2 linked regions of the Lepisosteus oculatus genome follow. The protein of the gene in region 2 binds, or shares a complex with, the protein of the main gene of each other region. Links are inferred from orthologs where the notes say so. Each region holds a gene or a part of one and is shown on either strand. Other genes may lie near its edges.

What was found. The genes of interacting proteins can lie anywhere in the genome.
Region 1: the proteins of yap1 (region 2) and smad1 are in contact, whole or in part, in an NMR structure (PDB 2LAW), measured with the Homo sapiens proteins. The link is inferred for Lepisosteus oculatus from reciprocal best matches to the Homo sapiens genes YAP1 and SMAD1. Residues at the interface, in NP_001123617.1 of Homo sapiens: Glu237, Ala239, Met240, Thr241, Tyr247, Ile249, Asn250, His251, Lys254, Thr255, Thr256, Trp258; in NP_001003688.1 of Homo sapiens: Thr222, Pro223, Pro224, Pro225, Ala226, Tyr227, Leu228, Pro229, Pro230, Glu231, Asp232, Pro233.

Annotation. Positions count from the first base shown.
Region 1 is NC_090696.1:27,166,529-27,173,721, forward strand, and holds the start of smad1 (mothers against decapentaplegic homolog 1), read right to left. Parts: upstream 3,109-7,193; 5' UTR 2,860-3,108; intron 766-2,859; exon of another isoform or gene 729-765; intron 1-728. UniProt on the Homo sapiens protein: Transcriptional modulator that plays a role in various cellular processes, including embryonic development, cell differentiation, and tissue homeostasis.
Region 2 is NC_090700.1:8,374,396-8,381,506, forward strand, and holds the start of yap1 (transcriptional coactivator YAP1), read left to right. Parts: upstream 1-4,105; 5' UTR 4,106-4,305; exon of another isoform or gene 4,306-4,674; 5' UTR 4,675-4,695; coding exon 4,696-4,896; intron 4,897-6,577; coding exon 6,578-6,810; intron 6,811-7,111. Other genes in the region: cfap300 (cilia- and flagella-associated protein 300), read left to right, coding at 105-171, 829-978. UniProt on the Homo sapiens protein: Transcriptional regulator with dual roles as a coactivator and corepressor. Critical downstream regulatory target in the Hippo signaling pathway, crucial for organ size control and tumor suppression by restricting proliferation and promoting apoptosis.

The sequences.
Region 1 (7,193 bases), on a different chromosome or scaffold from region 2:
ACTGACTTCATTTCATGGGCACTTAAGTATACGGATAAAATTTCGCATTAAACCTCTTCCGACTGAATCTGGTCTTAGACCAGCAATAAATCTTGAAGTATCTCTTCCAAAGGAAAAAAAAATGAGGTTATCCTCGAGAGGTGTTAAGACTGTATCGGATAATTTCGACAAATTCCTATTTTTACAAGTAAGCAATTGCGATACTGCCTTTACAGCACGCCAAGAGAAAAACGGAACTTTATGAAACGCTATTTAAAGTATTCTACATACACAAGATCGTAATGGATGCATTGTTGTATAGTTTTGCGAAAATCACAGAAAAAAGGAGTCGACTGTGAACGAAAAAGGGGGCAGAGCACGTGAAACCTTAAAGGTTAACACCTTCCTGAATGAGGGCTGAAATCCTTTTCACATACATCAAAGAGAGGTGTTCACATCTCTAAGGACCTTACATGGACACTGAACACCTCCAGTCTCATCAAGAAGGCACAACAGCGGCTGTACATCCACAGATCCTCACCAACTTCTACAGATGTACGGTGGAGAGCATACTGACCAGCTGCATCACAGTCTGGTACGGCAACTGCACCGCATCCGACCGTAAGGCACTACAGCGAGTGGTCAAAACTGCCCAACACATCATCAGCAGTGTCTTACCATTCATCCAGGAAATCTACAACACCAGGAGTCTGTAAAAAGCCACCAAAATTATGCCTGACCCCACTCACCCCAGTCATAACTTGTTTGTTCCCCTACCATCTGGCAGGAGGTTCCGGTCAATCCAGTCGCACACAACTAGACTCCAAAATAGCTTCTTCCCCAGAGCTGTCAAGTTGGTGACGCCCCCACTCCCTCCCACCATATTATGATCTCTCCTAACATCTTCCTGTACCCACAACCACTGTACTCCTACACCACTACACACACATGTAAGCCGAAATTGTACTGTCCCCTCGATAGCCCAGTAAAACTGTACCGGTCATAATAATATTTAATATTTATTAATTAACCATACTATTATTAACCATACTATTTTTGCACTGTTCCAAAAATTACCTTGCACTGTTTTTGTCCTGTTAGATTTTATGTTTGCGGAATTTTGCACAGTTTTGATTACATGTTATTTATGTTATGTTATTACATGTTACTGTTATTGCTATTGTGTAACTGTCTATTGTCTTATCTTCTGTCCTATTTATATACTGCACCTGAGTGACTAATGAGAAACACTTTTCATTATACTATGCACCTGTGTAAGTTTAATGACAAAGTTTAATTGAAGAGAAACATTTTTGAGCACGCAGAAACGTTCGCAGTATGTAGGAAGGTTCTGCACTCTGGTTTCGGAGTTGACATTCAGAATCCACAGCACCGCCGTGAACTCCGCAATCTGGGCACAAAACCACCTGCAGGCCGCCTTTCCCACACACTCCCCAGAAACTCAACCGGAACAATCTGGAAAATCACTCCAACTGATCACCATCATCAACCCAGAGAGATCACCCTAATAGAAAAGGGGCGAATACAGCAAAGCGCGCAGGTAAACAAAAACTTAAGGGAAGTCAGAAAAACGTAAAATCAATGGTTATTTAATCCTTCAAGGGGTGCTAAAATGATGCAGCGAACGTATCTGAACTATTGGAAAACATAAAAAGGGTCTGCAAGTCTTTTTCCCCCCACAGTGTACCTGCAGATTTGCTTTTACTCCTCGACAGAGAGAGAGCTGCCGCTAAAAAAAAAAAGCGCTCCCAGACGTCAAAGATGTACAGCAAAGAATCAAATCAAACGCAAGGACGAATGCCTGCCCTCTGGGTCATCCGATCTCTCCCCGAAGACAGCGAGATGTGTTCCCGGGTCTTTGTGCGTCCAAGAGCATCCCCGAAGCGTCTCGTGCCGGAGCGGGGACCCCTGCGCTCACACCCAGGCTGGGCGAGATGATCAAAGCCCTTTCCTCTTCGCGATTTCTTTTTTTTTTTCCCCAATTCCAAGTGCCCGGGTTTTGTTTTGTTTTTTAACGATCTTAAACGGCATCGAATTGCACGGACGGCGGCTCCGTGTCCCTTTCACGCGAAGTCCACGAGCGCTTGGAAGCGCGTCCGAGCCCACTCGAGCTCCGGGAAACAGGGCGAGTTCGCCCGGATCCCGACCGGGTAATGACGTCAAGGCACCAAGACGACAATGGAAACGTTCAGACATCGCTTCTGACAGGTCCATACTACACTAAACTAAATCTACAGAGCATTCATAGGAGTCTTCATTTGCTTGTCTGCATTGTCACCCCACCCCACACACACACTTTTTGAAAATGTTCTGAAAGATTTTAATGAGCCGAGAAACTCGTGTGTCAATCCAAATGAAGAATCACCCTTAACCCTTTTACAGTTAGAATGAACTTTTCATCAGCTTGGCTAACAAAATCTAGCTAATCACACATTTGAATACCACAGAACTACCGAAAAAAACATCACCCAAAGACTCAATTCCAGTTTTCAAACGAGGAAAAAGGGGGTGACAACGTTTCGGGCTGTCGTCTAATACAGACCCCAGCACGCTAAATACAGCAAACTAAACCTTTAACGGCAACACATTTCAACATCTGACAACTTCACATAATAACACACGACCGCTGCCCCTGTACCAATACACCAATTTTAAAAGCAGCATGTCGGCTGGCGAACGGCACTTCAAAACAAACGGATGACACGGGTTTAAAACGCAGTTACTGGCAAACCTGAGAATAAAGGTACGAGCTCTCGTTTCAGAGAGAGACAAGCGAAAAACACACATTTATTAACAGGGGTTAAATCTAAAAGCCAACTAAAAAGCAGAATCCACCAAAAAAAAAACAAAGCCACTCACGTTAAACAAAAAAAGAGAGAGAAAAGTTTTCCGCGTCTCCACCGGCCGCCCGTCCGCGGCTCTTCAGCTCCGACACTGGGAAGAGCGAAACTTCTGCCGCCGCGCAGCTCGCGCGCACCGCTGCCTGGATTGATCTCGCGTCCCTGGCGTCAGCGAGTCGAGGACCACCGCACCCTCCGCGCCGCGCTCTGTATCATGCCGCGGGGCTGCGCGGCTAGGGGCCGTCTCAAAATAACCCGCCCCGCTCACCGGGGAAAATTGAGTCCTCTCTACTCCCCCCGTGCCTTCCGTGTGTCAAATAAGAAGAGGATCTCGGTTGCTGTGCAATACTGGGAGACGCGGTTGGTTGTGCTTCGCAGCTGGCTTTTTATTAACTGGACGGGGTACTCGCCGCCCTGACATTTGGTGATTTGAGGAGGACGCTTGGCTGTCAAGTGAGAATCTCTTGCCAGTTAAAAAATGTCCGATTGCGCCGACCTTTTCAACAGAAGTTAGAAAACGTCCTGTAGCTACTAGTGCATATTTTCACAAGAGCATTATACTGTGAACTGGTATCCTATACCGTACAGTGCTACATAGAACACTTTTGCCTGGTTAGAAGCTACTTTATGCATGTAATACAAGCAGAATCGCCGACAGACACGTCTTAATTCATCCTGGAATTATTCGTTTAAAAAAATAATCTTACACTCTGTCCGTCACGCATGTATTGTTGGACAGGGCGCAACATTCGGGCTTCAATACCAATGTTCCTTTCAGCGTGAAACACATCTGGTCTGGTCTTGGGGAAGAAAAAGTCGGTAGTGCTGACTGGTGTGTTATTTGAGCAAGATGTACAGTACATCTCTCAAGAGGCAGAAGACACAGCAGAGGCCTACTATAGTGCCAAGGTGAACGTCTCCAGCCACAGCCTGTCAGCCCCAAAATCAAAGGAAGTTTTAAGTGGGAATGACAGTTCAACCATTTGCATTTGAAGCACCTCTTAGAAATGTTTTAGGAATAGCTCTCTTTAAAACTGGTTAAAATCAGTCAGATAAAACCACTGACCTGCCAACCTGGGCTAACTATTAAAGAGCTGTTTGAATGCATCGGGAATTTTGTGTGTGCTAATTGAAGATACTCCGGATCATAGTGTAGCTCCTGCCCTCTGTGAAGAGAACTGGCTCGCACGGAAATGACTGGATTTTAAAGGCTCTCCTGCTCACACGTGAAGCCCTGCGTGTTTCAATTGAGCGTAATCTGAAATCTTAATCTGAGATTTTACTTAATTGTTGAAGAGGAACATGTTCCAAATCAATCTGTGCTCGTTTCTCCATTCTTTCATTTTACCTCTGATCTCTGTATTACATGGGTAATATTGCACAGAACATTGAATTAAAAACAAATTGTGTTCTTCACGCCTGCAGCGTTAGGAGCATTAGGACATCTGCAAACAAGAGAGGTCATCCAGGCCATTTAGTAGTTGGTAGCTAGTTGATCCAGTTATCTCATCCTGCTGTTTCTTGAGTTTGTGTCTCAGCCCCTGTCTAGGATTCCTCTTCCACCTTTTAACAACTCTTTGTGTAAGGAAGTGTTTACTGTTTCTCAGTCCACCCTAAATGAATTTAGCCTTTTAGCCTCTGATTTTGTATCCATGTCCTTGTTTCACAACTGAACTAAGTAAAAGTAGCCCCCTGAGTTTAACCTATCTCTGCCCTTTAGGCATTTACATGTAAAATAAAATGTACTTTTAATATTTGATACAATGACTGCTACAATCACGTCTACTATTAATGATATCAATGACATCAAATCGAAGCACTGCTCAATGATGCAGTTACTGATAGCTCTCTCACTGTAACTTTTGTGGAGACAGAACACTAATGACCCATTGCAATTAAACTTTTGATCGTATTTTGCTTCATGAACACAGTATATTATCAGATAACGATGTTAAGTAGTTATTATAGATAAGTAACGTACAAACTCCACATAGACAGCACCCCAGGCTGAGAATTGATCCCTGGGCCCCGGCACTGTGAGGCACTGTGAGGCACTGTGAGGCAGCAGCACTAGCCACTGCTCCACCATGCCGCCCACGGGCAGATCATGTTCTGTGTAATTGAGACTGCTGTGGGAATGACTGGCACTTCCAGAGTTTTCTGTGCTCCGAGGTGTGTATTGCTCGCTGAAGTGTTGCATTACTAGAAGATATTTTGAGACATTTCGGAAAAGCAATGTCATTTCCAATGCTGGGCCAATGCCATGTGGCATTCCCAGAAGCTGCAGATCGTAGGCTGGGGTCAGGGAGGTCTCTGACTGCTATGATAAGGCAAGAATAGGAGCTGTGGTAAGGAAACGAGAGCAGACAGAGGGGGAGAAAAGCTGCAGCAGAAAGTTTCCCAGGCAAGAGGAGAAAGGCAACAGTAGCCTCACAGGGATTTGTAGTGGACCTCAGACAGCCTACCCACAGTTCAACAGTGACACCAGACTCAATCTTCGGTTGATAAAGGGTTTAATACTGCTGGTACTGAAGGAGAACCTCTTGAGAACACCATCTGATTCCCTATCTGAAGCACTCTTTCAATGCCTCGGTGGTAGGGATTGTTATGGCTGTAGCTTTCTTTAGTAAGATACTCTATAAGCTTCTTTAAAGCCGAGTGGGACAAGAAGCAGCTACAACCACAGAGAACAGTTAGCAAGACAGCCAAAGGCTGTGCAGCATCATCCCTGGGCTGCTGTCTTGGTTTTCCACAACATCTTGCCCAGTGTTTGTGTGTCAGAAGGGCCCGAGCTCATACATGACCTGCATAGTGTCGCTGTAAAATGGAGGGATTTTAATGTTGTGATGCAGGCCATCCAAGAAAGCAGAGATGCCATAATGGCAGATGGCAAAGGTTTGAGTGCACTCATGAGTGTTAATTTCTGACACCACAGCAAGGTGAAAACCCAGAACTCTCAATGCCCACTAAAGAAATTAATGAAGCTGTCAGCTCACCGAAATCTTCTGCAGGCTTTCACACCCACATGTTTAAAGCTGACAGAACGTGAACTTTGACCACTTTGACCATGAGATCAAGCAGGACAGTATAGGTATCCGAGTTCCTCTCTGCAAATTAAGTTCCCTGCTCAGCCACTAGCACAACCACGACGCTTGTAACAAGCAGTCTGTTTAGCCTGAGTATTGTACCGTGGTATTTCAAGTAATAATAAAATTTAACTTTATATAGCGCCTTCGCAGTAGGTGCAAAAAACGTTTTAAGGATAGCAAATCACAAAATAAGTACGTAAAAGAAAAAGTTTAGAAGTGCATCAGAAGTTAGAAAATGGAGAAGACACAGACACTAATTAAGTTAAAGTCTTTCTGAAAAGAAACGTTTGGAGTCTGGACTGAGACGCACTCAGGGCAGGTGACTCTGATATCCTTGGGGATAGAATTCCAGAGGTTTGGGGAGCAGATTGGAATGTAGTACAATATAAGTATGACAGGGGAAAACCATGTCAATTTTAAGAAGAGAGGAATAGCCCCAAAGGTTGGTTTCTTCTTCCCAACCACACAGCTGTGCACCAGTCCTGCCTCAGCCAAGCCTCCATTCATCAAGCTAAAAGCTGAATCCCCCTTCCACCAGCCGGACCCAGCCGTGAACGCTAGCTTTTTCGTCATCTGAAGACTCGACGTCTGCTGTGTGGTCTGCAGAGGATGAGTGGTGCCCACTGTGGTCTGCTTGAGGGGGGATCCTGAAGAGAGCTGCTTTGCTAGCAGAGCGCTCGTTTGAAGGAGAAGTGGACTGAAGTCACATGTAGCTTTATTTAAAAGGTGATGTAGACTCTGTGTGGTCAGTACCATTTGAAATATCTTGTTCTACTCATTATTTGATCTCCCTAAGACACCGAAATGTGATGTAAAGATTAGTCTCATTTTTAACTCGGCATTAAAACTTCTGTTGCATTAGTTTGGAGGTGCTGCTGTCTCTGTTATCAGTGTACAGTATATGTGTTGTACGTACAGTACAGCTGCAAACGTTTGGCTACCAGGTGTGCTGGCTAGAGAAGAAAACCTCATCTAATGTCTGAAAAAACAAGAGCATTGAGCGTCCTTAAATCCAAAGGGTTTTGAGATGGAAATTGAAAACGTTTTTTACAAAGCAAATTAGACACAACTTTCCCTTCTGGAAATGTTGGATATTAAAAACCGTTTTAGCTGTGTTCCGCAGAATTACAGTTGTATTCAAATCCAAAGGGGCAGTGAAAACAAAACCATTTCACAACATTACAAATGAAAACGGTATTGTTGTCATTAAGGAATAAAAGAAACGTGCAGGTCTACTTCGCTTAAGAGACCGATGTTCGACGTA
Region 2 (7,111 bases):
ACCTAATAAATTGTATATACTGATTTTTTGTATTGATACTATGAAAGGAAAAATTAAGTACCTTTACATGTATTGATTGTGAAACTGAAATATGTTTTTCATAGTGTTCAAAAAGACCCTGAAATGAAAGAAATCCTTGTCACCTCTACTGTATTGAAAGTCTCTGCTTATGTAAGTACATTTTTTTTTCTTATGGTGTTGTTACTTTATAATAGTGAAGTGACAAATTACAAATTTTAAACCACAGAGACATTATCTTCCATTTTCTTAATATAGTTGATCCCAAAAACGTTATACCAATTGTATTCTCCACTACAAAGTTCCTTCAATTTGGTAAATATTTGAGACAGAATGAGACAATACTGTATTTCTGTATGTATTGTTGAACACTCTGGGTGTTTCTGTATAAGGGGGTATAAAAGTGGTATAGTCTTTTTACATAGACTAAATATCTGAAATTCTGACTATATGTAACAGTTTTCATTTAACAGAAAGCTATGGATTTATACAGTATTTTGAAAGATTATTGTTAATTCATAAATTGCATAACATTCTGTCTTTCTAGGATGTTGAAAGTGGATTTAATAATTTTATATTTACGGATACACTAAAAAAGAAGACAAATGGCACCAAAGACTTCTTTAAAGAGCATATCCTAAAACATTTGCCTAAGACATATTCCTACTTATATGCATTGCCATTTTTTAATATTATTATTTCTCATTCATAACTTCTTTTTCTAAAAGTTTACAGGACCTCTTATCCTAAAGGAAACAAATACAAAAATGAAGTGAGCATTTTACCAAGTGTTCTTTTAAATGTCCGCAGGATGACTCTGGCTTGTGTTATCCTTCATGCAAAGATGAAGAACAGACCTTCGCCTACTTCATTGTTGACCCTTTCAAGCGCCATGTATATGTCCTGTACCATTGCTTCGGAGTTGGATTATTTTCAGTGCCTGAGAAAGAAGCAAAATAAAAGGGTTTAAAAGTTCAACATTAACATTCTGGTTTGTTTTCTTGATTACAGTAATACGGATATGCTTTAGACTTCTGTATTAATGTCATTATTTTACTTCAGTACTGTAGGGGCACAAGAATATCCGTAGCTCAAGAGGATAGGGATATTTAATGTAAAGAAGTTTCTTAACTTTCAAAAAAAGCGCAGCAGTGTACACTAGCTGTTGACACCTGTTGAATGTGTTTAAGAAAAGTCAATATGAAAATCTATGTTCACAGAGTTAGTTGAGTATAGACCTTAACTAAGCTTTTACTGTGTTTAGTCCTCTGGTTCATTTTGCTTTTGACTGTACGGAAGTCTGTTGGGTCGACTTTGACTAGAATGTATCTGTTCACTGTTTCCTAGACTGGACCAAGAACACAAAGCTGTACTTAATATTCTGTGTATACTGGTTTTACCAATGCATCCTTTGATTAAAATTACATATCACAACATTTTGTTATATATCTATAAAGTCATTTTCAGCTTCTTCAAGCTTAGTGTTTGCCAACTTATGTTTATAATTAATGTTTCTGCTATCTCCGTTTATCCCTCTGCACTTCACTACATTAAATGTCATCAGGTGATTGCCCAGTCTTCATTTTTGTCTGTCATTTGTTTTTCATCTTATACAGCGTTTGCTAATCCTCCTGTTTTGGTATTGGTTTACACTAGTCAAATATGACTAGTTTTCTTACTGTGCCATCAACTAAATCAATGTTACAAATTAAGCAGAATGAGGTCCTAATACAGGCCTTGTGCTGTAGTACTCCCCTAATTACTTCACATCAGTTTGAATCCTTATCTCTGAATGCGTAGTACCTTTAAGAATTATGAGGAACTTTATCAAAAGTCTGTGCTATTATTGCTTGTTTAAAGAAACTGAATAAGTTAGCTCACACCTGAAGAAGGCTCCACGGCCAAAACGTTGTGTTTTCTTTCTTCTCTTTTCAGCATGGAATAAACCTATTACTTGTTCCATTAAACAAGATAGTTTAGCAAGATTAAATCAATGTCGACTATCCTCTAGAATCCCACTGACACCTAAAATATATACAGTACATAAATATGAAAGATCTGTAGTAATTAAATAAACATAAAACATTTTTAACTTTAGTCTCTTCAATAGTCTTTATGGAATGGTAAACTAAAAGAAAGTATGCCTCAACGGTCCTTTGCTCACATAAAACAAACGGGGTGTAAAATAAAAGTGGTCTCCAGTTTGAGCAAAAGTGGAATTGCAGGTTCAGCTCAAGCTCGTGATGGCATGACAGATTAACTGTTGCCTTTTGCCTTTTGATAAAGCAGTATTGCTCCTCACAAAAGCAGCATGAATATAAAACAATTGTAAGAAGATTTGAGATGAGAAGCTAAAGGCCATAAGAGCATGGAAGCTAAAACTACCCTCAGGCCCCCTAAGTGGGTGGTCCCTTCAGGGCAGGGCAGAGGCACATGAGGAAAAACACTTTGTGATGGCTGTACCTGTTTTTTTTTACAGACAGAAGCCTCCAGTTTACAATGTGGGCCCTTTTATTACTCTTTCGGATGGCATTCATAATCCCTGACCATTTAAGAGCACACATTTTCCAATCGGCCAAAAGAAAAGTGTTTCCTCCCAATGACTGACCTTCAGTAAAAGGTTGTAATAGTGAAAATATCCTTTTCATATGTTTTAAAAATAAATAAAGGACACTTTGAAAAATATAACCTACATGATTAATATAATTCAAAGTGCAAAATAATGATCTATAATTTTATCTCTTTTAATAAACAATCAGTATGGTTTGAAAAGGGTATTGCAGGTAAAGTAAAAACAAGACATTAATGGATCCACAAAAACTCTGAACACAACAAAAATCAAATATAAGCTCAGAGAAAAATGTTTTATTTTCTAAAACAACAACATTGCCAGTGTAAAGACAAGTGTTGAATCCTCCACATGAATTTTCATTTGAACGTAAAATAGAAATTTGTCATATGTTTTATGTGTAAAAAGTTAAACTTCAGATATGTGGGCTGTTTCTCATAACAGACGTGTATATATTTTAAAATGACAGCATATGTAAACTTAAGTATTGGGACTGTGTTAAAAGGGAAGATGCAAAGTAACCTTTTGAAACCATTGTTCATGGTTTTACAGTCTCTGAAAGAGGATTAATAAAGATCCATAATCATTCAGTGCCTTGGTGTATGGGAAAGGGGCAGAAACACAGTTCCTATACATCACTGAGGCGGATTCTTGACAAAATGATTTCTCAATAGAATGAAGAGGATGATTTGCATAACAATTATGGGAACCTTGTAGAAATGGCTTTCATTGGCACTGTAGAGGAAAAACATTATTTCTTAATAAAGAGCCTATATTTTACAATCACGGTTCTGTTTTAATGTGAGATAAATTGGATTAATATTTACTGAGAACCATTCTCTAGAGAAATATATTTATTCTCTTCAAAATCAGGATACAATTTACCGTTTTCTTCACATACTTTAAAGCCTTTAAAAAAAACAGAATATTTAGATAGTTGTTTAGAGAATATATTGAGAATTGTACAGCGGAAAAGGACAGTTAAATTAATTTTAAGTTAAATTAATTTTAAGAATGTAGAACTAGAGAGCAACAACAGAATTGTGTCCTAAAACAAAGTATCAATTGGCATTTAGTTATTATTATCATCATAATTTATGCTGGCAATCGTGTCACTGGTAGAACAGTAGGAGTCAACAGCATCGAGATAGACTGGGAATTTAACATGTAATTAAATGTTTATTAATTCACCTTAGGTTTTTTAGTTGACAAAATCTACATTCTAAGTCTACATTTTCTAAAAGGTACTCAAATTAAATGAACCAACTTTGTACAGTAAATAAAATATGTAGAAGTAGTGTTATTCGTACTAATATTCCGAAATGAGAAAAAAAAACAATTAAGGATTCAATATTTATTGCGTGTCGAAGATGCTATTTTCTAAGCGCCCCTGGATTCAGGTTTTACCTAGGGAGAAAGTTATCCCACATAAAAAGGGATGTTGCGTCTTTAAACTCCCCACTCTCCCTGATTAATGATGCCAAGCTCCGCCTGCTTCTGACTCAGCGATCACATGAGTCATAAAAGTTTGATGTCCCAGCCAAAGTTTCGGACGAAGTTTAGGAAAACTTAGTAGTTTTGGAAAGGCAGTGATTTGCGATGAGCGGCTCGGCGGTTCGTTTTCGCTGGGGGAAATATAAACCAACCCTCTGAGATTTAGAAGTAACCTAAGTAAAACGGTCTGTAACTTTTGTTTACAGGAGGCAGTCGGTGTTGAGGTATGTTTTAGATTATTGACGATCAACAAGTTTTACATTTATAAGCCGACCCGACTGTAACGGCTGCCTTGGACTGGAAACTGGCTGGACGTCGTTGTGACTTTACTCGGCGTCCTTTCTCGGCTGCAAAGTGAAACAAAAAGAACTTATTCGGGAGAAAAAGAAACATTAAATAACACGCGAGAATACAAGAATAAAATACAACGGAGGAATTGGAATAGCTTTTTGGAATAAGCTTTGCAGAGTCTATATGATCCGGGTACTCATTGCAACACTTGGGCTTTCCATGTTTTTGGATTGATTTCTTTTCTTTTTTTGGGGGGTTACCCCACTTCGGGCACCTAAGGTTTTTTTTTTTGTTGTTGTTAGTTGTTGTTGTGTTTGGGAAGGATGGATCCAAGCCAGCACAACCCCCCCGCCGGCCAGCCGATCGTCCATGTTCGGGGCGACTCGGAGACGGACCTGGAAGCGCTGTTCAACGCCGTCATGAACCCGAAAAGTGCCAACGTGCCCCCGTCAGTCCCCATGAGGCTGAGGAAACTTCCCGACTCCTTCTTCAAACAGCCCGAGCCAAAGTCGCACTCTAGACAAGTAAGATTTCCCTCTCTTCCCCCACCAACCCCCCTCCGTCTCCCTGCCCCCCTCTCTTTCCTTGTAGTCCAAAAGTTCAGGCTGAAGTGTGCTGGCATTTCAAAGGCTTTTTATCTGGACCAGAAGCGGATGGGAGTTTTTTTCTTTATATATTTTAACAAATTCCTGATGCGTTATGTAGTTTGTGAGCAGAGGTCGCCATGCTTAGGGCTTGTTTGTTTTTTTCTGCAGAGTCCGGGCAGCGCCTCGGTTTTATTTAAGCATGCCGACCTCCTAATACGTGGTGCGTATCCGATATTTGTAGCTCGGATGGCTCGCTACGTACAAGTTGGTACCCACGTAATAATTTTCACTCCTGCAAGAAGGAGGATTGCCGGGAGTGGGGTGGGTGGAGAAAACCCTGATAAATGTAATCCATTTCACAAGCAGAAATTGTTAGAGCTGGTATTTTTAAAAACAACAACAAAAAAAACATCTTTCAAGTAAAAATATTATTAAAAACAAATATTTTGGGATAACAAATGGGGCTGACTTCGGGCAGCTTTGATTTGTACCGGATCATGTCGAGTAAGAGAGAGCCTACCTTTTAACTTTAATGGAAAACAGACTGTCATAACAAGTCGTGGGCCGTATTTTGACTTCGCCTAAAGGTTTGGAATACATCATCCAAGCCGGGCTTCGGTGTGTGTGGTGCTCGCACACACAACCCGGGGAAGATTAAAGCGCATAAATCAAGGAAGGCCTCTATTTCTGCTCTGACTGAGCTCTCTGGGGGGGGGGGTATATTCCTGTAGGCTCCTAAGAGATTGAGTAAGGGGATACTCGTCTGTTGTACGTTTAAAGACAACGGTGTCTGAAATGCTCTTTCATGCCACAAGCTTAAAAAATAACCTTTAGGTCTCAGTTTTTTTTAAATTAAAGCTTTGTAAATAACGGTAGCTGCTAGGTTTTCGTGTTTAAAAAAAAAAGTGTTACTGACGCATTTCGTATGAATTGCCCCTTAGAATCACACCTTGTTTAATCTTCGCGACTCCCCGCTGAGTCAGTTTCTTTATTTTAATGCTTCGACACTACTGGTTTGATATACACTGGGATCTCGCAGTCTTGTCAAGTGCGCTGCCCTGACTCTTCAGTGTGAGTCACTGATTTGAAGGGAATGGTGGAACAGTGCACACAGCCTTGGGCCACAACTTTCTGTATCCACATCACCCACTGCTTGCAAAGTTCTTCACAAGTTCATTCTTGCTTTCCGTGTCGTGGAAGGTTGGCTTTCACAATGGGGAAACCTTGTATACAAAAATCTGATCTGTTTGAGTTGTTAATGGGGAAACCTTGACTACATAATCAGACAGGAATCGGGAGTTCATGTGATATTCGGTTTCTCTCACATTTAAAGTGAAATGCAATTCGTGTGTGCGAGTACATCTTAAAAGTACTTGTGTAATAGGTCATTTGTGAACCTGTATTCCACTGGAATTATGACCAAGGTCGTGGTATAATGACCTGCTCCCAGCTTTTAAAGCTTGCAAGTGTTAACGCGTCTTGCCAACCCCAAAATGATGAAATTTAATTCAGTTCTGTGAAATGGGAATGAGGTGTTGAAAGTTGCAATTATCCCTTGCCTCCCTCCCCTCCCAAACTGTCATTCATCCCTTCCCCTGTGCTTCTCCTTCCTGTCCAGGCCAGCACGGACGCAGGCACAGCTGGGACGTTGGCACCGCAGCACGTCCGAGCGCACTCCTCGCCCGCCTCGCTGCTGAACGCCGTGTCTCCCGGCTCCCTGGCAGGGGTGATCCCGCCCGGGGCGCCCCCGCAGCACCTCCGCCAGGCCTCCTACGAGATCCCCGACGATGTGCCTCTGCCCCCGGGCTGGGAGATGGCCAAGACCCCCTCTGGGCAGAGATACTTCCTCAAGTGAGTGTCGCCACAGCTCCTGATGCTTCTCCAGTCCAGTCCACTCCACCGCACCCCAGGGGCCCCCGTTCGGTTTGGTTTCCTTCAAGGTGCGGCCATTTCATAAATCGGCTATCCACCTTGAATCAGTGCAGCCCACTCCTTGTCAAGCCCGGCGCCACGGTCACTTCCTGTTTGTACAGGCAGGGCTCCCCACCCCCAACTAGATCTAGATAGAGTGTTGTCGTTTGATAGCACTTTTATTCACAAAGAAAAGTTGCGAGCTTTTAATCTGTGGGTACTTTTCAAAAAAAGGTTTGCT